3 linked regions of the Lytechinus pictus genome follow. The protein of the gene in region 3 interacts with the protein of the main gene of each other region in a pairwise test. Links are inferred from orthologs where the notes say so. Each region holds a gene or a part of one and is shown on either strand. Other genes may lie near its edges. The genes, in order: histone deacetylase 11-like, recombining binding protein suppressor of hairless-like and COP9 signalosome complex subunit 5.

Evidence for each region.
Region 1: the proteins of COP9 signalosome complex subunit 5 (region 3) and histone deacetylase 11-like interact in a two-hybrid assay, tested with the Caenorhabditis elegans proteins (2 studies listed by BioGRID). The link is inferred for Lytechinus pictus from reciprocal best matches to the Caenorhabditis elegans genes csn-5 and hda-11.
Region 2: the proteins of COP9 signalosome complex subunit 5 (region 3) and recombining binding protein suppressor of hairless-like interact in a two-hybrid assay, tested with the Caenorhabditis elegans proteins (3 studies listed by BioGRID). The link is inferred for Lytechinus pictus from reciprocal best matches to the Caenorhabditis elegans genes csn-5 and lag-1.

The regions. Positions count from the first base shown.
Region 1 is NC_087247.1:25,632,811-25,640,629, reverse strand, and holds the start of histone deacetylase 11-like, read left to right. Parts: upstream 1-4,801; 5' UTR 4,802-5,001; coding exon 5,002-5,096; intron 5,097-7,819.
Region 2 is NC_087250.1:10,336,234-10,343,548, forward strand, and holds the start of recombining binding protein suppressor of hairless-like, read right to left. Parts: upstream 3,024-7,315; 5' UTR 2,657-3,023; intron 1-2,656. UniProt on the Caenorhabditis elegans protein: Transcriptional regulator that plays a central role in lin-12/Notch and glp-1/Notch signaling pathways, involved in cell-cell communication that regulate a broad spectrum of cell-fate determinations.
Region 3 is NC_087261.1:2,506,426-2,513,415, reverse strand, and holds the start of COP9 signalosome complex subunit 5, read right to left. Parts: upstream 3,048-6,990; 5' UTR 1,982-3,047; coding exon 1,848-1,981; intron 1-1,847. UniProt on the Caenorhabditis elegans protein: Probable protease subunit of the COP9 signalosome complex (CSN), a complex involved in various cellular and developmental processes.

The sequences.
Region 1 (7,819 bases), on a different chromosome or scaffold from region 3:
TAAATGATAAACATCTCAGACATATAGATTAATGGATAGTAGAGAAAATGATGGATAACAAGAAAGGACACTCAGTCATTCAATCATGTTTAGATAACCACTCTTTTGAAGCTTTTCTGTATTCATCAACATTATTATAAAAAAATGTTTTATTTTTTTTTTTTTTTTAAGATTTTCTGCTTTATCATGCTGTTAAACGGGTGAAAAAAAATAGAATTTCACTTTAACATTGCCAAAATATCGGTAAAGTTACCAGGTATCGGTTTAATTCATTCAAAACAGTATTGTATGGCGGTACAATCTGAAAGGTTTACGCCAAAAGCATTATATTGATTACTCGTCCCCCAAAACCAACAAACATGTTTGAGTTTAAATAGGTGACAAGAACGGCTGGACAAAAGTCATGAAATTTAACGATTCAGTCATGTATAATTTAAGATATACTGTCAGGAAAAGGAAGCTTTGAATGATTTTAGGAGCTAAGGGCCATGAAAGATAGAATGAAGGAATTGTGATCTGGCCTGTCAGTTTTCGGAAGATTCAATCAATGAATGTTTTAAGGTTTATTCAAGAATTTGTGAAAGCCTGCCCTGAAAATCTGATACTTGAAACACATTTTTAACCTTTTCTGCCCCCTAAGAAAAGTGAAACGCATCGTACATGATTAAATCAACAAAATAAAATTCATGTCCCCTTAACAAAATATATGACATAAACATACACCCAGCTGCACATGCATTTACGGGGGTTGTCATTATCACGGAAGGACATAGCTCTGGAAGCAAATTCTCACTGAAAAAATGCTCCTTAATAATAATGAAAAATCAAACAAACTAAAGAAGAATTAAATAAAAACGCTAACAATAATAAGCAGAAAGGCTTCCTTTTCCCCTCTCACGCACACGCTCACACATTCAAACTCTAACCAATCTCTCTTCACTCTTCCTTTGATTTATCATCACCAAACACTCTCCAATGACCATCGTCATCATCATGGCCTTCATTTTCACCATTGTCACCGTCATCCTAATCCTCACCATCTCCATCTTCATCATTAAAATTATAAACAAATATTGCCATTCTGCTTTATAAATGTTTTAATCAATTTAATGAGTGTTAATCCGGGCTTGTCATTTTTGTTCAAAGCAACAATGACAATCCTCCTGCAAACTGTATATGTTGAAATTATTTGGTAGTAGATCAGATCTGTTTCGAATGACTTTTTATGTAGTTCATTTTTTTAATGATTCATGCCAAAAAACACTAAGCAATATATTATGTTTGTTATGTAATGAAACATGTATTACATATGAATGTTATGATTGAAGAAGAAAACAATGAAATCAACTCAAATCTCGTACCACACATCGCCTCAAACACACAAAAAAGGGAGTGAAGAGAAACAGAAAATTACGGAAGCTTGTAAGTGCCGTCTATATTTTATCGTGCCAAGCACTACATGGCAATTTGCCAACTATAATTTGAGTATGTTGCCATGTCGACTTCGAAATCATACATCTTACCATGGAGACGTCTTACCAAGTCGACTTTTAGACAGTTACATGTCGCAATGGCAATTTAGTAAACTTCAAAAAGGTTTATAGGTCGTCATGGCGACATAAGTCATTTCTCCAAGTCGACTTTTAGAGACTTAGATGTTGTCACATCATAGAGAGTAAAATGATAAAGTAAACTTCTGGAAATTTATACGTTGACATATGAACATAACTTATCTTTCTACATCGACTTTATAAGAACTTTGTCACTATGTCAGCATAATGAATTTTGTGAAGATGACATTTTTGACTTTTTTAAGAGCTTGAAAGAAAATGAAGAAAATAATTTCGGATATTCTACTAAGTGTAGTGAGGACTGGTACCAGGGGCGGCGATCCTAGCGGGACTGTGGCACAGCCCCCCTCAACTTTTTGAAGCACTGAAAAAGTGCCCTTTTTATGCGAGAAAAATGCCCCCTCAAAAACATGTACTGTGCCCCTTTCACATGCGGACACATTTTAGGTGTTACCAAGTGCCCTTTCTCTTTAATATAAGTGCCAATTAAAAAAAAACCTCTTGAATATGTTTTGTGCCCTTTCCACCTGAGAAGGACCTGTTTTATGTGTTAGCAAGTGCCATTTCTCGCATTAGTGCCCATTTTTACCCAAAATTGCCCCTCACGAACGTGTTCTTTGCCCTTTTCACCTGAGAAAGACCCGTTTTATGTGTTAAAGAGTGCCCCCTTGCCTTCTTGTAAGTGCCCTTTCTTGAATCAGTGCCCCTTATATGTATAACTACTCATGAAGGAAAACACTTGTAAGAATAATCCCGCGTGTCTTAAGTTTCATAAGCCATGTGAGTGGGGGTAGATAAGTCTTTTTTTCTTTGTTTTAAGATAGTGCCCTTTTCGAAAGAAAAGGTGCCCGTTTCCCCTGTGCCCCCCACTTTTAACTTAGCTCCGCCGCACCGCCACCGACTGGTATTCATATCACATAATAATATTTATCTTATCTAAATAAATAATATTCTGCCCTTTTAAATCCCCCTTACATGTAGCATCGGCTTCAAAAGAATGACTTTTAGATCAGGAGTAAATATTTTGTAGCTTGATGTAATTACTTCCAATTTCATAACACCTTGTCCGAAACAAGTACAATACTAAAAACTGTTTTGAAATCACGTTCATGCAAAATTAATGATTGCCGTGCGGTCCAATGAAACTAACTGGTCAGTTGGCTGAATATATACTCCTTGCTATCTACTGAAGATAACATTCAATTTTATCTTCAGTAGATAGCAATGAGTACATTAGACTTATTTGACGGTGTTGAAACGGGGTTCTACACCCGCTATTCTTGAAGATCGCTATAGTCGTAATCGGAAAAGGGGCCTTCATTCATAAAGGCCGCTGTTCATAATCACATGAGAGGGTCAATAATTGTAATTGAATAAGATGGTCGATAATATTAATCAAATAAGAGAGTTGCTAGTCATAATTTAATGAGAGGGTCGCTATATATTCACAAGCAAATAAGACGGTTAATATTCTTAATCAGGGTCAATAATCCAAATTTTTGATAGGATGTTCGATTGTCTTTATTAAATGAGATGGTTGCTATATACCTGTAATTGAATCAACCGATCAGGAGAAGGATATGCAGAAGCTAAATTCCATTTAATTTTACAGGCGATTTCAATTTATAATAACAGTCGTACCGTAAGTGAAACTGAAACGCATAGTACACACCTAAGTATGATGGAAACCCATGCAGGGGGGGGGGGTAATGTGACGGCATCCTAGATGCGAGAGGCGTAGCAACCGAGCCAGAAAATCGTTTTAATCAGTGAAACTTATACCATTATTTTTACCTTAAAAAGATACCCTGCATCGAAGGGACAATTATGATATACATAAGTTTAGAGACCGAAAGAAAGTCTACTATTTCATAAATGAAATTTAGAATTTTAAACCCCAAAAGCGCTGTGGAAAAGGGCAAGAATAATAATTTAGTTTTCGCCCGTCAACATGAGCGTTGTACCTACATGTACAACACAATACATAACAGTACTATTGATATTGTAGTAAAGAGATGAATGTATGTTATATGCCTGCGAGAGAGCGTAACGACCGTGTAAGAAATTTTGAGTTTATCTTGTGAAACTTTTGAACCCACGCAGGAATCAATTAGGGCACTTTAGTAGAAATTAGTACATTTACCCACGACACGGTAACCAAAGGGCCTAAAGTGAGACATTCCATTGAATGGGGCCTTTCTTCAGGAGTAGAGGTATCAAGTGTGTGTGTGTGTGTTTTTTTTTTTTTTGGGGGGGGGGCTATTTAATCTTGCACAAAAATGCCCCTTCATTGAATCTCTTATTGATAGGGTTCCAAGTGCCGAGTTTTGGGTCATTTGGTGAAAATAGCATATATATTATTTTGCTTATGATACGGTCTTGAAGGTCCAAATATATTCCAAGGTCCCCTCCCCAAATTTCCTATCACCAAAAGCAAAAATGATTTTTTTAAAAATGGGAAAAGGGTGAAATAATTTTTTCAAATTGTTGGAATCTAACACAAAATATGCTTATCATATTAAAGAACGTCAAAATGTTTGCTCGCTTGCTTCACTCGCTTGCAACATTCTAGAAATCTTGCTCCATAGGCCTATATGTTTTGCCCATTTCCAATGACAGAGCCCCGCCTCCAATTAACTCTTACAAGAAAATAATTAAAAGACGAAAGCCCTTAAAAACTGCGTGATAAGAGATACATAATCAAGCTGATATAATTATGTTATAACTTTCGACCATTATTTTGCTATAAAATATAGGCCTAGATAGGAATCCATTAAAAAGTTTTATGAATCTAGATTATTTCTACGCATCTTTTTTTTTTATCCAGCGTGTTTAAACAATAAAAATAACAATTATGCTTGCTTGAAACTAAGATTCATTTCATTATCATTCTATACAAACTTGCATACTTATATTAATACACAAAACAATATTCATTTTTGTGTATGTGCATAAAAAATATACATTTTCAGGGTTGAGAAGGCCGACCCTCCCCGCTTAGAAGGAGAGCCCCCATAATGGACCCCACATGCCTGTAGTCGTGAGTGCAGTGAGCTTTCCAAAAAATCTTAGTTTGATTGAAAAAGGAATGAATCCTAGCCAACATTTATGTAATAAAATAATGAATTAAAATTATAATATCAAGAAAAGGGAGGTGGAGAGTTTTGGTTTACCGAGAGTTTACATGACATCCATTGACAGGTACATGACGTCAATCATGAATATTCATTAGTACGGTACCGTAAATTTGGCGAACATACGGAAAAGCTGTGGCCTGTGCGAGTTATTAACGAACGGTCCTTTCCAAAACCCGGGCCCAGCGCGGCCCCGATCACGATTGTCTGATTTTCGCTAGATTGCATATATTGCGACGTATTTTGGTTCAGGTGCTACCAACGATGTTCCGTATAGGTCTACAATTTCTACAAATATGGCAGAATCTGGAGACAGTTTGCTAAAAACCACAGACGGAGAAGTTGTATTAACCGAAGGAGAAAGGAATGGGAATAGAGAGAGTAAACATTGGTAAGAAACACGAGAAATATTCTGACAAAAAAAAAATCAAAATCATAAATGGAGTCTGGACTCTGGAGATGATTAGACTCTTTTAACGTTAGAGCCGCCTATTTTAATTTTTAGGGAGTAAAATAATTCACTATTATTAAACGATAACGTGAGCTTACAATATGTTAGTGAATGATTTTTACTCTCTAACATTAGGAGCCTCCTGGCCAGGGGCGGAAATCTTTCCCAAAAGGTAGGGGGGACAAGGCAGGGCTGGAAAATTTGACAAGCAAAAAAAAAAAAGGTATCATCCCAAAAGTAAGGTCATCTCGTCCTAAAATACATGTTTTATTTCGATTTTTAATGATGTATTTCTTACCATCATAAAAGACCACAAATAGTACTTAGTAGGGGGGACATTTGATAATATTGTGTCCCCCTACTATTTTGAGTAGGGGGGACACGTCCCCCCTGGGATTTCTGCCCATGGCAGCTCCTGGCTAGGGATGACTATAGGTCTAGTCTAGAATCAAGATCTAAAAATTGTGACATTAAAACTCAGAGTCAAGAAAATAGTGTCATGTTTTTAGATGATTGATGGAGGGGGGGTGGGCGGAGATACCTGCCATTGGACAGTACAGTGACAGCATCCGCGACAAAGAAAACATGGGAAAAGGGGTGTGTATTTTGTGGGAAGGTGCGGAACATGAATAGGGGGTGTTGCAAGAAAATAATTGCAATCGCAAATATTCTGTTGCAATTCTACAGTTGATTGATCACTTTTAAAGATAAATTCCAGTTGTGGGAATGATCTCAAAATGACTTTTTACAGAATTTAATATAATGATCACCAAAGTGTCTGTTTGTATGAATAAAAAATATGTGCCAAAGGATTCTGGAAGAAATTGTGTAATTGCTGAGAAATAAGCAAAATAAGCGCGGATTCGGTCACTTCCTTCGGGTCTTTATTCCAGCAATAATAATACACTGTCCCACGTGTGCCTATCTGTGTCGGCGATCTTCAGTGTGATCATTTTTTTAGCTAGATATTATGATTCCACAAAGTTCAGTTTATGTAACTGTACCAGATCTAGATCCACGATGATATATCAATACTTTACCTTGGTTTTACAGACTTTCTCACGAAATCAGTGTTTTACTGCAACTACGTTCATTTAGCTTTAACAAATCAGATTACACTCCTTGTTTCATGGAGCAGATGAGCAATCAATTAATTGCATGGCGTATGATTGATTTCGGGAACGAAAATAGACTTGCAATTGATCGCAAGTTTCTTGCAACGCCCCAAATGAGGAAAAAAAGAAAAGTCCCCTAGATCTAGATCTCAATGGTCTGAAATGCGAACACTGATATGTCCGCACTCCGCACTCGAATATACTGTACCACTACCAAACACAGGGTATGTTTAGTGCATGCTGCATCAGTGGCCTGCATCAGTGGCCTCATTCACTCATGTTCAGTCATTGAATCACCCATGGAAACAACATGCGCTGCGCATAGAAAATCACAGGCACAACGCATGTAACACGTCCATGGGATTGTGTGAAATTCCAATGCCTAATCACTACATTAATAGATTTAAACTATAAACTTACCGAACAATATGAAGTCACTTTCCCGCTTTTTCATCCTTCTCTTGATTTTTCCAAATGATTTTTCTTGATGTTGACGAGAGCCATTTAACTGTCAAAGCGATATAGGAATTTTTCACCTTAAGAGGGTGCACAATTGACACTACATCATGGAAAAGATGAGGCACTCAAACTATTTTACTAGCAAATCAATGCAAAGTGTCATGCAAGTCGGCAATATGTTCAGTCTTTTCATTGTAGATCTATAGACTTTGGTATACCGTTTGTTGACAAACGAACAAAGGCATGTATGGTTGGAACTACCCCTTATCGACCACCTAATCTGCAAAAATATTTATCAGTTTTTCCTTATTTTTCACAAAACAGTGATATGCACAACTTGGTGAGTCAGTCGATGATGTCCATCACTCACTATTTCTTTTGTTTTTTATTGTTTGAATTATACAATATTTCATTTTTTATAGATTTGACAATAAGGACCAACTTGACTGAACCATATAGTATTAAACAATGCTAATTACACATGTTCAGGGAGGAATTAATTGTTGTATCACTTGACAATGAGGAGAAAATTATAATATTTCATATAATAAAATACAAAAGAAATAGTGAGTGGATGACGTCACAGTCTCCTCATTTGCATACCAGCCAGGATATATGTGCATATAACTTTTTGTGAAATTAAGCGAAAATTTTTAAAATGTCATAACTTTCTTATTTTACATCAGATTTTGATGAAATTTTCAGTGTTATGCTTGTTGGATTTTTCTCTTTTTATTCAAATAAACTTTTTGTTGGGGTGGACTTGTCCTTTAAGGATCCAGGCTATGCCTTGCCTACAACACACTAGTGTTAAAGGTGCAAGTGGAAACCAGTTGTTGTAGAGAAAGCCAATATGTGTAGCATTGGCTACAACACTGAACTTCTCAATGGCTAAATTGGCCACTTTGCATTCAATTATGAGAAGTTAAACTAAAGGTTAAACTAAATTTTTTTCAAATGAAAGTCCATCAACTTATATGTAGTTAATTATTTAACTATTAAACATGTATGCAAAGTACATGTATACTTTGTAGGCAGAGTTGACTTTTACTGTTTCTTGATGGTTCCTGCCATTTATACTCAATTCCA
Region 2 (7,315 bases), on a different chromosome or scaffold from region 3:
TACGCACGGACGTTCAGAAGAACAGCCATTGGCTGAAGTTCGTTTACCGTGTTGAAATAAAATAAATGAAAATTGAAAATGAAATGAAAATGATAGACGAACTGGTGATTAGACAAAGTGATGATTTTGGACTAAACGTGATGGTTTTGGACTAAATGGTTGTTAGACAAAATATTGATGGACGGAATGGCATTAGACTTTGAAGGTACATGTAGACCATGTGGTGAGTGGATGAGCTGGCAGTGGGCGAAATGGAAATTTTATACCCATACAAGACCCAGCAGACGAGCAAAATTTCAGGGGGGGGGGGCTCCATCCGTTTTCATCCGCACCAGAAATGGACAAAATTTGTGAAAATTTGCGAAAAGGACGGACATGGGCAGTATGTAGCGGGAATGTAATAAAAGGTTGTTCAACGGTAGCATTGCGGTTGGAAGTGGATGACAGCTCCAAATGGGTCACCGGGGAATAATTGCGAAGCGGACGCATTGCGGAAAGAGCAGATGCTTTGCGGTCGAAGCGGAAATCCCCATTCATTGCATGCAATGCTGCAGCTTATCCAATGTTGCAGATTTACATGCAGGCAGTACAGGGGCCGCGGAAGCGGGGGGGGGGGGGCTTCAGCCCCCCTTTTTTTCCAAAACCGTGTACAAAAAGTCAAAAACGTAAAAAGTACAATAGGATTGTGATTTTTTGCATGGTCAGCCCCCTCCATTTTTGGCTCAAGCCCCCCCCCCCCCCACTCTGAAAACTGTTCCACAGCCCCTGCAGTATGTTGTGAAAGCAAGCCCCAAAAAATGAAAACTTAATTTTTTGCCTCCATACAGTGATGATCAGACACATACTACTCCAATTTCATGCCCCCTTCTATAAGAAAAATATTCTATTAACTCATCGTGTTCCATCATAATATTGAAATTTATATTTGGAGGAACTGCTCATAGTCATACATACATGTATGACATCACAAATTAAAAAATTAAAAAATATAAAGAAAGTAAAAACCACCTCTCTTATTCTTTATTTTTCTCTATTTTTTATTTTTTAACCAACTTTTTTTCAGGGTGAATTTTTTTTTTTTTTATTAAAAAAGCTATAGATTATTAGCTGGTCTTCCCAGATCTGTTACGAGAAAATCAGAAATTCTCGACAAGCATCAAGAAATCGCCACTTTGCAGGCAGAGGTCTTCAAAGTAAGTAAAATGTGATACCAACCGATTTTATGGCATTCAACCTCCATCTGATACGGTACAATAACATGTATGTCTCCTACTCCTAGACTTCTTTTTAATTCAAAGCATTGCAAAAGTATCAAGCGCAAATTAAAGAAGAATGAAACTCTTGGAGCAAGTTAGCTTTTGTAAAAGCAGAAAAATCAAAGAACAAGATCAACAAAAGTGTGAGTAAAATAGGAATAGGACTAGCAATAGAAGAATTATGAGCATTTGAATGTCGAGATCACTAATGCTATGGAGATCCTCCTATTGGCAATGCGGCCAAGATCTATGATGTCACAGATGAACAACTCTCCCCTTTTGGACACTGAAAATATACCCAAAAACATCTCTTTTTGCTCATTCTAATCATATGACAAACGATTCATCAGTGATATAATGTTGTGAAACCTCTGTACTTGTCCTCTCATAAAGAGAACACCTCACCTTGTGATAGACTCTATGAAAGTGAGAATATAAGTGAAATAAGTACTAAAGTAATGAGGGAGTTGTACATGTGTGACATCACAGATCTTAGTTGCATTGCCAATGGGAGGATCTACATGGCATTAGTGATCTCAATATTCAAATGCTCATAACTTTCTTATTATTCATTCAATCTTCCTCAAACTTTCAACAATATGTTTCTTTGATTTTTCTCTTTGATCTGATTCAGCTGGTTTCAAGGGTTTCATTCTCCTTTAAGGTCACACTGATTCATGACACTTTTTCAGCCGAGCGCACAAGCTGGTTGATCGCCATAGAATTTTGAGATAACGATACCAGCAAAACAATGACCTTAATCCTTATTTTATAATTCCATCGAGCAATTTCTATTTCTAGTCTGGGATCTTGCCTTTCGTTATGGTATTTACGAGTTGATTATTTATGAATTGTGAGAAATTTTCGATTGAATATTAACTTAATGATAATTTTTAAAATGTGCGCAAGTTATGGTCACCCAGAAATGCTGTAACTTTTCCTCTCTTTTTTTAATCACACTACCGTACTGCCAAAATAATAATCGTGACAGAGACTAGACAAGAATAACCCCCCGTTCTGGGGATTACTGGGGATTTATTGAACAATTTCTGACATTTTAGTACTCTCTACCTGTGTCATAGCTTACCGTATAAGGATTACCAATTGCAATGTATAAAATCACCGCCAAGCGCATTGCAGAGACCAGAGTGCAGCGTAGTTCGCTCCTGCTACAATCAGCCGCAAGCGCAAGCCAGGCCCAGTGCATAGATCACGACCACTGCGTTGCACAGGGCCTGCACTTGTCACCCTCATCGGCATCGCATCATCACCATTCGCAAGTTCATCTCTCTCATAGTTAACCCTCTAATCTTACAAAACATGATCAAACGCTCTGAACATCATCCACAACAACCATTCTTCACTTCTAACCTTATAAGCAACGATAATCATATATTTACCGCATTAAATCCAATTATGACGAAAAGTTTCTGCACCACTTTTTACGGAGTCCTCTTCCAGCTCCAGACACCAACTTCGCGTTAATTTGGGCGAATCTTCTCACCCACTCGGCAAATTCCCACGATCAATTTGCGTAATACAATTTAGAAATACATTTATAGAAATTTGTATGAATTTAAATGGCGTTTCTAATTCTTTAAATATCATAAATAATTCTTAAATTCTTGTTAATATTTTAATAATACAAGTTACTACAAGAATATGAAATATTTTAAGAAAAATAATCAAATAACCAGCTGAAAATCGTCCACGAAAATCACTTGTGAAATTGGCAACCGCTTGTTTCGGTCCTGAAAAGCACACCGTGGGAACTTTACATAGTTGATTATGAGCCGTGGGAATGGCTGTTCCCATCGAAACTACCCTCCCCCTGGATTAGATAACGGGGTCAGACAAGGGCGACTCGGCCTTTGTTCGCTGCCCTGCAGTTGGTTTCGAACAATGCGATAGACCTCCTGTTTTTCCCATGCCCTACACTGTTGTGTGTCTCGGATTAAAATCTCAAACAAAACATCGCTACCCGTTCTCGAGTTGCCATTACTAAAGATTTGCAAGGAGGATATGTTTCGACCCCAAAACAACGTTGATCTGGGAATAGCTTACAGTTTATTTCAACATCGAGTAAAAAAAAGTTCATTCCAATGTTGACCTTGGCTTCCTCAGAGGGGACATGTGGATAAAAAGGCAAATGCCTAATTTGCATACAGATTTCCCAGGCAAGGCTGGTGGACGCGTCCATTATTTTTAGGGAGAATTATGAACCTGTCGTTTTAAATGAACTTCCCTAATATCAATATTTCTGACTAAAAGAATGATTGCCTGCCTTTAAGTCTTTTAACATTCTTATCCATACAGTTCTTTATGAATTATGCAGAACAATATATGTTTTCTATTTTTTAATTTAATTCTGTGGAACCCCATAATCGACTAGTCCATGATTGTGCAGCGACCATACCCAGGCACAAAGAAACTTCTTTTACATCTTCAAATTCCCAGTACACAATGGTTTCGGAACTGCGCGACCTAGTTGACAGTCATGTTCAGGGCAAATTGAACTTGTGTAAATGGGCGGAGGCGGCCCCTTCGATCAATTCTCTGAAGGAGAAAAAAAATATGGGACATCGTATCAGGCCATTATTGTCAAAAAAATGACACCACAGAGATCACGATTTTTGTCACTTTATTCTCCTTTCTTTCTCTCTGATTCTGAATGTGAAAAAAATGTAACAAAAATAATTATTTGTGAGATTGGAATGATTAAAAATATAAGAACAAAATCCACTAAATATTAATAAATAAAGAAGAAAAACGGATGAAATATAAATGAACAGTAATTAACAGTAATCTTTCTTATATCAGTATCATTATTATCGTTCATTTAAATACGATATAATTTGATTAAACCACCTTGACGTCAAAATTATAGGGGGCACGTCAGGACGGTGAGGGGATGAGCACCCCCCACCGTATTTCATTTTCTGTTATTTTTTATGATTTATTTGTTTGAGTATTGATTTCTTGATTTCAATGATTTGTTCATTCGTTTTTTATTGATTTTTTATGTATTCATTCATTTATTTGTTCTATTATTTATCTATTAATTCATTCATTCAATTACTTGAGCCTTTTTTTTTTTGCTCGGGCAGAAAATTACACCACTGCCCCGCACACCCATTTCGAGGAACCATTACTAAATTGGCTTTCCGTTTGTTTTTTTTTAATCATATTTTTACAGGCGTGTTTCAAGAATACATGATCACTAAAATAAAATCAGGTGTCAAATTAAAAAGTTCTATAAGACAATTAAGTCGATAAAAAAGAAAACAGTCATATTATACGGCATGGCTCATAGAAGGAATGATGACATCACATGTTGTCTTCTGTCTTATTAATTGGTCTTGTATAAATGACGTCATCTCATCTGTATAGGTTATTTTGCCAACAAATATAGCACATGCCACCGCCCCTGTCGATAAATCAGTAACTGCAAATAAAAAAAATATAAAAAAAACAGAGGTAGCATTTCTGAGACAGCGGCCTGCCCGGAATAAACTGTTTCGGTATATCTGCAGACAGGATACACTATAATAAATTTCTCAAAACAACTAGCATTTCCCCCCATTTTATCACGGGGGGGGGGGGGGGCAGTCAAATGTATTGCTGTACACACGCGTGGCCAAATTATTTCCAAACACCCCCGAGTTTTTCTCTGTGTGCAAAATAATCCCCTACACAAGTTTTCGCAGGCTTTATATACACATTTTGGCCCCTAAACAAGTTGTTGCCAGAATATGACCCCGGGGAAAAAGCTTGGAGGGAAAATACCCTAAACACGTTTGGCTAGCCTTAACAAAAAAAAAAGCTTTTGAAAAAAACATTCCCTAAATTTATACATTTCACCCTGCAATTGACCATTGACCAGTCTTTCAAAACTATACTTTTTTTAATCGGTGTTTTTGATACCCTTAAAGGGATGGTCCGGGCTGAAAATATTGATATCTTAATACATAGAGTAGAATTCAATGAGCAAAATGCCCCCGGCCCAAATTTCATCAAAATCGGATAACAAATAATAAAATTATTGAAGTTTAAAGTTTAGCAATTTGACTTATTAATTAGGTGGGCTGATGATGTCACATCCCCATTTTCCGTTTTCTTATGTTATTACATAAAATCATAAATTTTTCATTATTTCATACTTGTGTGAATAATATGTCTCCCTTAAAATGAAATAAGTTGCAGCAATGAATATTAGTGCATTATTGCTGCAAGAATTGTCAATCCAATTTTTCTAGTTCTTGGAGGAAAAAATTTGAATAAACCTAATTTCATATACTAAAATACAAAAGAACAAGTGTGGATGTGACATCATCATCATTAATATTTGACACTGGAAAAAAAATGAATATGTTGAATTTATTGTAGAAGCTTATTCGTAATGTATAATTATTATTATCTATAATTATGTATTGGAAGATGTCTGATGTTGTGTTTTATTGTAACACTTAAGAAAAATAGTGTTAAATTTATGAGTTGTCAAGGTGTTAATGAATTTGTAAAGACATCAAACTTCTATTTGTTTGTTTTTTTATTTTGTATATGAATTGAAGTTGTCATTAAAAAATACTTAATACAAAAAAACTTTACTGGGGTGGACTTGACCTTTAAACATCGGTACTATAATTCTCGTCATCGAACTTCATAATGGGATTGCTCCTAAACTGTATACCGCCATCTCGTGTTGAAGATTCTAAATCATCTCAGTTTTACGATCGATGATTGCTTTGTTTTTTTCCGTGTGGAGATCTCAATGGTGTCGGGTGAATCATAGAGATATATTACTAATTTGATTTCAATACACTACTGGGACGATGGAACAGGATATTATTTTATTTCGGGGGGGGGGGGGGTAGAGATAAAAAAAAATCCTAAACAAAAGCTCATTTTATTAAATACTCCAGGCTGACAATATTCATATTCAATAAATATAAATAGAGTAAAATTCACAAAGCAAAATGCGGAAAATTTGATCAAAATCGGATAACAAATAAAACAAAGTTATTGGATATTTAAGATTTGCATTATTCCGGTGAAACAGTTCTTGGCATGTCTTCGTAAATATTCAGTGAGCAAAATGACGATGTCATATCCCCAATTGTTCTTTTGTATTTTGAAGTTAGGTTTATTCAAATTGTTTTTCTACCAAGCACTAAATCAATTGGATTGACAACTGATTAAGTGCATTAGTTATTTATTGCTGCAACTTATGATAATGGAGACACTTTATTAACACAGTCATGTAAGAGAAAATGAAACAATTATAATTTCATGTGATAACATAAGAAAAAGGAATGTGGGGATGTGACATCATCAGCCCACCTAATGAATATTCATGATGACGTGCATATTAACTGTTTTCACAATAATATCGCTAAACTTTAAATTTCAATAACTGCGTTATTTGTTATCCGAATTTGATGAAAATTGAAGCATTTTGCTTTGTGAATTTTACTCTCTTTGAAATATTTTCAGCCCGGAGTATCCCTATCGGGGGGGGGGGGCAGTGCTGTAACCTACCCCGAAAATACCTGGGAGGGGTCCCATTGCCCCAGCATAGTTCAATTACTAGTACAATAGAAATAGGTTTATCCACCAGCACTCTTGGTTTTTTTTAAGGGGGGTATGCGATTTTTTCCCCATTTTGTTTGGCATTCCTTTAGCAACCAATCCCCATCCCCCTTGATGAAGTGAGTAAACTGTTACCCCATTAATAATGTCTTCTCTAAGAAATTGTTTACAGTTCACATTTTCTCTGAAGTTTGACAAGCACCAACAAAGGAGAAAAGAAGAAGACAAAATAATGATCAAGGAAAGTTCACAAATCTACAATGGGGGGGGGGGGGGGGGGTCATTATTTTCCATCCATTGGGGAACTTAATCATATTAAGTCCTTTGGAATCACAATGAGACGTTAAATGGTATGTGATACATGTTATATAACAACTGAATATTGTTATTAATCTTATCAAGTGATGGGGGGGGGGCAAACAATAACCCAAATTTTAAAATTTTAAATTTGTGTCGTCAAAGATAAGCAG
Region 3 (6,990 bases):
GTGAAACCTTCTTCTTCCTCTCAGAATACAGACCACCTTCTGGTGTTTTATCGTACCATTACAGGTTTTGCCGGGAACTGACAGGTACGAATGTATTTTGATAGCTACATGTAGCTTCAGTCCATATATAAAAAGGCAGAGAAGACGAAGTGCAAATGAAACTTGAAGTAGAACCATAACATCAATATTGAAGCCAATGCGTGATGTGGTTTGAATTCTGTCGACAATGCACCGACAGAGATTCATCATAGCGACTGTGAAATCTGCGCAAATATTTGGCTAATTAGAGCTTGGAAAAAAGGGGTGAAAATTTCATAATTCTGCGGTTAATGAAATCTATTATTAGCGCCAACATTCCTCAAGGCAACAGCTGTGCACAGCTCAACCCTATTAAACAACCATTAGATCTTTTGCTAAATAAACAAAAGGTGTTAGTCTGATAAATTCCAAATAGATGTCTATAATTTCATGCTCAGATGATTTTAGGAATGCCAGTTAGAACCTTGCACCTTGAAGAAATAATCCCTTTTGCAGCTCATACTTGAAGCTAAACTGGGATGGGTGCATGTGCAGTCAATGGCCGACAGTGACGTTGGATGTTGGAGGTTATTTACAAAAAAAAAGGTGGAGGGTGCAAGTAAAAACATGGCGATTCGGTTTACAATATCAACCGAAGTCCAGCAGGTGGCTGCAAACTTTTTGAGTTTTGTTTGATTACAACATGACTTAATTCATTACTGGAAGAATGTTGTATGGTGGTGTGACCTTAATTCGCGCGTTACCTAATTTTGCGCACAGTCGAATATCTCTTTATCTAATTAATATCTTGAAAAACTTATATAACCAACAGAAAAGCCACCCAAAATTATCCAGTATGGTAATTTTGTTGAAGGCAAGGTCTCAATTTGTGAAAATATTGGCAAATCATTGGGGAATTTTGTTACCTTTTACGTCCGCTCCGAGAAAATCTGATCTTCTCGACAATCATCAAGAAATCGCCAGTTCGCAAGCAGAGGTCTCCAAATAAGTAAAATGTGATACCAACCGAATTTATGCCATTTTAACCTCCATCTGATATAATTATCTTACGTTTGTCTGTTTGATTTCTTTTCTAAAGCTTTGCAAAATGATCGTGCGCAAATTAAGGTCACACTTTTTAATGGCAAGTTTTCAGCCAAGCACGCACTAGTCGATCGCCATGGAATTTTTAGATCGCGATACGAGCGAAACCCTTGACCTACTTTATAATTTCATCAAGCGAATTTGACTTTGGGATTTTGCCTTCCATCTGGTATTTATGATTTTGATTAATTTTGTGTGAACTATGAGAATTTTTTGACTGAAAATCAACTTCATGATAATTTTTAAAATGTGCGCAAATTATGGTCACCCCATCATACATATCAACAGCTGAGCTTCCAGGAACATCTTCTTATCATTTACCCAAATCACAAATGAGAAGCAGACAATGTTGACGCATGATCAGCTCAGGTAAAACAAAACTTCATTTTCAAAATCATCAATCATGAATCATCATAAAAAAGACACAGACAGTGCAAAGACAGAAAGACAAAGGAAAAATAACTGTAGGGCCTATGCTATTCCTCAGTCATTCTTGTTTATTAATCTACTACTAGGTCTAGGGTTTTTTTTCCATGGCTATTCCCCCTGTCAATGCCAAAGTCAGAAGTTAGCCGTGCCATGGCCATGGCGTGCGAAGAAAAAGTGTTTTTGTAGAATTGTGAAGTGGCCGGCCAAGGCAAGCCAGTGGCAAGCCTATCCCCTCTTAAATTTACAACACAGATTGCAACGGTTGGGACTAGTCTGACTGTGGGAGGACAACTTACTCTTTCGACCATGGTTTTGCTTGCAGTATCTCGTGTTGTTGTTTCTTGTCGTACTTGTAAATCTCATCAACATTTTGAACAAGTTCAACGTTATTAGACATTTCCCATGTCTTTTGGGCTATCTCACGATCCATGTCACCTATTTTCTTCAGAATTTCGCAGAGAGAAAAGTCAAGGTCGTCACTGGAGTTAGCCCATAGAGATGTATACTAATTATATCTCTATGAGTTAGCCCCTATTTTTCTGAAATTAATAATAATAAAATAGGCAAAAGAGAAAAGAGAAGAGAAGCAAAGAGAAGAAAAGGAAAGAAAAAGAAAAAGAAAAGAAAAGGAAAGAAAGGAAAAGAATAAAAGGAATAAAAGGAAAGGAAAAAAGGAAAGGAAAGCTAGAAAGAAAAGGAAACAAAAAAGAACAGAAATAGATAAAACAAAAAAAAAAATGAAAAGAAGAGAGAAAAAAATTCATAGAAGATATAAAGAGAAATGAAAAAAAAAATAAGGGAATAGAAAAGAAACAAACTGAAGGAGAGAACAAAAAAAGAAACTATATATCATTTTTTACAGCTTTGATTGGCAAAATAGTCATGATATATGGTTGCCATTAAAACCATCAAGGAAAGAGAAAGAAGGGGGGAGAACTATAAAATCTGAATCTGTTTGATTTGGTTTCGTTTTTGAGGGGCTTTTTTGTGTGTGTTTTTTAATGCCAAATACATGCAGATCGATGACCAGTATCTAATGAAAGCATATTGGTGATCAAGCTCAGTGACAATTGTAGTTGCAAGCCTGTAATATATTTTTTCTTTCAAATTCTTTTCTTGTCCGCAAAATGAAATAACAAGTCACCATTTCTTTGTCAGGCATCGTTTTTTTTCTGCTACTTGAGAAAATTTGACAAATTGACCCCCCCCCCATGCATCCCACAATATTCATTACATTACAAGAAATTAATTTTAACTTTCAAAATTTCTGACAAATGCCTTAACCATCTGAGGGGTCAGCATGATGATGAAGATAAATAAGGGGTCAGTAAGTTTTTTAAATGCCCTTCTAGATCTGTCAAGTAAAAGAAAAAAATGATTAACTTGAAAAAATGGTTGACATTGTCATCCAAGAAATTTTGACAAGCAGAAAGAAAGAAAGCAGTTCTAATTTGACCAGCTCTGCCTTTTTTATGTGGACCCCCGCCCCCCCCCCCCCCAAGAAAAAAAAATGTTAGGTATTAAATATGAAGAAGGGATTGTCCAAGTACATTCTTCAATATAACATATACACTATTCATACATAATCATTATAGTTGCATTTTTTTTAATGATATTAATCACAGTTCCGCTACCCAAGTCAGTAAAATTTGGAACTGAGGAGACACATAATGTATAACAAGGAGATACAACTGAGGGATGCTACCTGTGTCATTACCATAAGTTACTTACTATACATATGTTGTTACATAAAAAAACATACAGACAAAAACGACTCAAAATCCACTGAACTTTTATGATTACACAAGCACACCATGCTATCACATCGAGGCGGGTTTCAAATGGTGATACAGAAGTGATTACAGGGGTGGGTCTAGCGTTTTACAGAGGGGGTTTGACCGAGAAATTTGACAAGCAAAAAAAAAAAGACTTCAGTACAAAATGAAGGTCAATTTGGTACCAAGAAGTTTGACAAGCAAAAAAAAAGGAAAAAGAAAACAACTATGAAATTAGGTAATTTGGGGGGGTTGGCTCAAAAATCTTACTTGTTTTTTACTTGGCAGCTCAATCTGAAGACCATATAGGCCAACTTTTCTGCCTTGCGGTCTGTATTCATCTATTTATTGGGGAAAGGGGGGGGGGTGCTGTGTTGATCAAACCAAAGTTTTTTCCTCATAATATTTGCTCTTTTAACATAATGCTCTTAAATGAGGAACAGGGTCCTGTAAAGACTTGTTATAATAGCAAATACACAATATCTATACCAAATAGACTATCAACCAATCAGATTGAAAGATTTCAGTGACTTTTAACTGTTATTGCAAATTTGCTATTATAAAAAAGTTTTACGAAACAGGCCCATCAATTAAGTAAAATTTCTAATTTGCTATCGAATACAAGACAGCTTATGCATAATTGCACACCAGAAACAACACATCACATAATATTTTTTCTCATTTTTAAGAAAACAGTATCACTGTCTCTTTAATTAATATTCTTTAATTTCATTGTCACAAAAGAAATTGCTTTATCAAGTACTTTTAATCAAGTTCATTTATACATGTACGCATACTGAACATTAAATTATACTCACAACCGACTGATCTATACAACTTTTTAAGACACTTCTATTATAAACATTTGGAATCACACACACACATTCTAATTGTAAGCCATTCATTAGGAATTCTCACAATAATCAAGGTTTCAGTAAAGTCACTTTTCAGTACTTAGCACAAAATATATCTTGAATAATCACAGCTAAATTCATTCACTTTTTTAGTAGTACCCTCAACCGTGGCACTTCATACACCAGAAGGCTGTTTCATAAAGCTGATTGTAATTTAAGAATGACTTTATAAATGACATACACAAAGTTGTGCATGACTTACAAACATCTTTGTGAAACTCCATCCCCGACTCCTGAGTGGCTATTGACAAACTTCTGGATAACGATATCCGTAATACTACCCCCCCCCCCCTCCAATGATATTCACCTTCTTGTCATTTATAAAATACATGTACAGCCTCATGATATCACACGAAAAAATTTATTTTGAAAAAAATAGGTTGCAGGATATCTTTATCTAAAGTTGATTCAGAGCCTCCTAGGGCTGATCGCACAAAAGAGCTTTGCAAGGACCGTCTTTCGTGGTGCTGATTTAATTACATTACTAGAAAGCGCCTCATACAGCGCATGGGTAACACGAAAGACCGGTCCTTGCCAAGACCCTTGCGTGCCCCTTGTATCTAAAGTCACCACGGCTAACGGTAATAATTCAAAATAAATATTGATATGTCGATAAATATTTCCAATTGAAGAAGACATTGGTAGAAGAATTCTCAATATGATATATCACAAGCAAATAAATATACAATGAATACTTCAACAATTACACATTTCTTGGCAAAGACTTCCCTGGAATACAATATGCTCAATTACATAATTCTCTATATAACATCTGTGTAATATTCCATATAAAGTTGGAATTTTGTTACCAAAAATAATGTTAGACAATAGTGGCGTCTGAATGCTCTAAACCAACAAGTTTGGAAGGTTGAACCGTTGTCAACACACAATGGCTTGCCCTTCCAAACCTTTGCCTGACCTGGTGGGTGTTTCATAAGGCTGATCGTAAAGTTATGAACGACTTTACGCACGACTGGAACAAGTTCTTAGGTCATAACTCAATTACATACATGTATAGATATCACATAGCACAAGAAAGGATCACCAGTCGTGCGTAAAGTCATTTGTATCTTACGATCTGCTTTATGAAACACCCACCCGGCCCTTGTTTCATAAACAGTTTACAACTACACCTACGATAGCTTTTAGATTATTGTAAATACCATGGTAATCTTGATTGTGATTGGCTGCTGAGCCCTGTAACCATTGTTGTTCTAAAGGAATAGTTACCCTAGCTTAAATTCTTATGAAATGGCCCCAGAGTGCTCTGGCGCCACTGTGAAAGAGTGAGCAACTCCCTTCCCCAGACCCCCAGAGTGAATAGGAAATGCCTCATGTATGATCAGAAGATCAGACACTAGACTAGAGATTTCAATGTTTTCTGTAGTCTACCCCTGCTTGGTTATCTCAAAATGAACTAACCCTTTGCCTACAAACTAAAATATAAATATTCTGTCCAAGATTTGGGGAATGCTGAATGATAACTTTGGTTTATGGCTTGATACAACTGGAATGTCAATTTCAAAGAGGACGAACAAAACTTAACTCAAGGTACCTTAAATAAAAGCCCGAGCCACTGTGTGTACAGGTATTGTGGTCCAGTGGATAAGTCTCCACAACTGAATCACAAGGTTTCAGGTTCAACTCCCTGCTGCAGCACTAATGTCTCTCAGCAATACATTCATCAATAATTGCATCATTTATTCATTATGTACCTGGCAAAAATGAATTCCTTAAAATGCTTGTGTACTCTATAGTCTATAAACAGCTTCCAACACTAAGTCAAAGGTATAACAAAAGTCCTTTGGAAGCCCATAGAGACATTAGATGATGCGGCTTACATCAGAAAATGTTACATTCAGCAAATTTTCCACTTCTAATCCCCAAATTCTGCATAGCCAAGGCAATGGGGAATAGGGATAACTGCCCAGTATTCGAACATGTGGTAAATCAAAGGATGCATCTATTGTTAAAATACTGTTCAAAATATTTTGACTTCACATGTTATTCTACTATGTCCAAATCTGAAACACAAGTTGCATACAATGAAGCTTTGTGGCGATTTCCTGGTTTAAATTTATCTTTATTCCCTATAACTTTGCAACATACTTGTCATTTTAAGATGGTAATTTCTGCATAATCAAAGACTTCATCTTGCTCATTCTATGCTTGGCAGATACGTACCAAATAATTGCCTATGTGGAAGCTAGATTGTGAAAAGTATGTGATGTATTTACCTTTTCACATCAAATTTCTTCTACATCAAACACAAATTTCGGTGGTCCAAAGAGTTTTGACTTAGGCAGACTTCCCTGTTCGAAAACCTTAATAGTAATAATTATTCAAATTCATATCATATAGACAAAAAAACGATACGTGTTTTGCACACAGAATCAATCTTTGTTAACATTCAAATGAATTTAACGATGGGGAGATATTTTGACAAGGTCTATATAACTACTCCATAATACAGACAAATGAGAACCAACATGCACATACTGATCTGTATACGGTAACACTGCTTTTTGACAGACATCCATTTAGACACTCTTTCTTAAATTTCAAACTAGTAATTTTTTTTTTTTTTTGCTATTGTTTTTTTTGGGGGATGGTTCTTCAGTATCTTATTTGTTCTGAAGCGCGTTGTGCATCTCATTACGACAGAAAGTGATTTATATAAATCTAATACATAATATTATTAACCTGTTGACATTGTATACTAAGAAAAATGAAGATTAAAGAGAAATAAT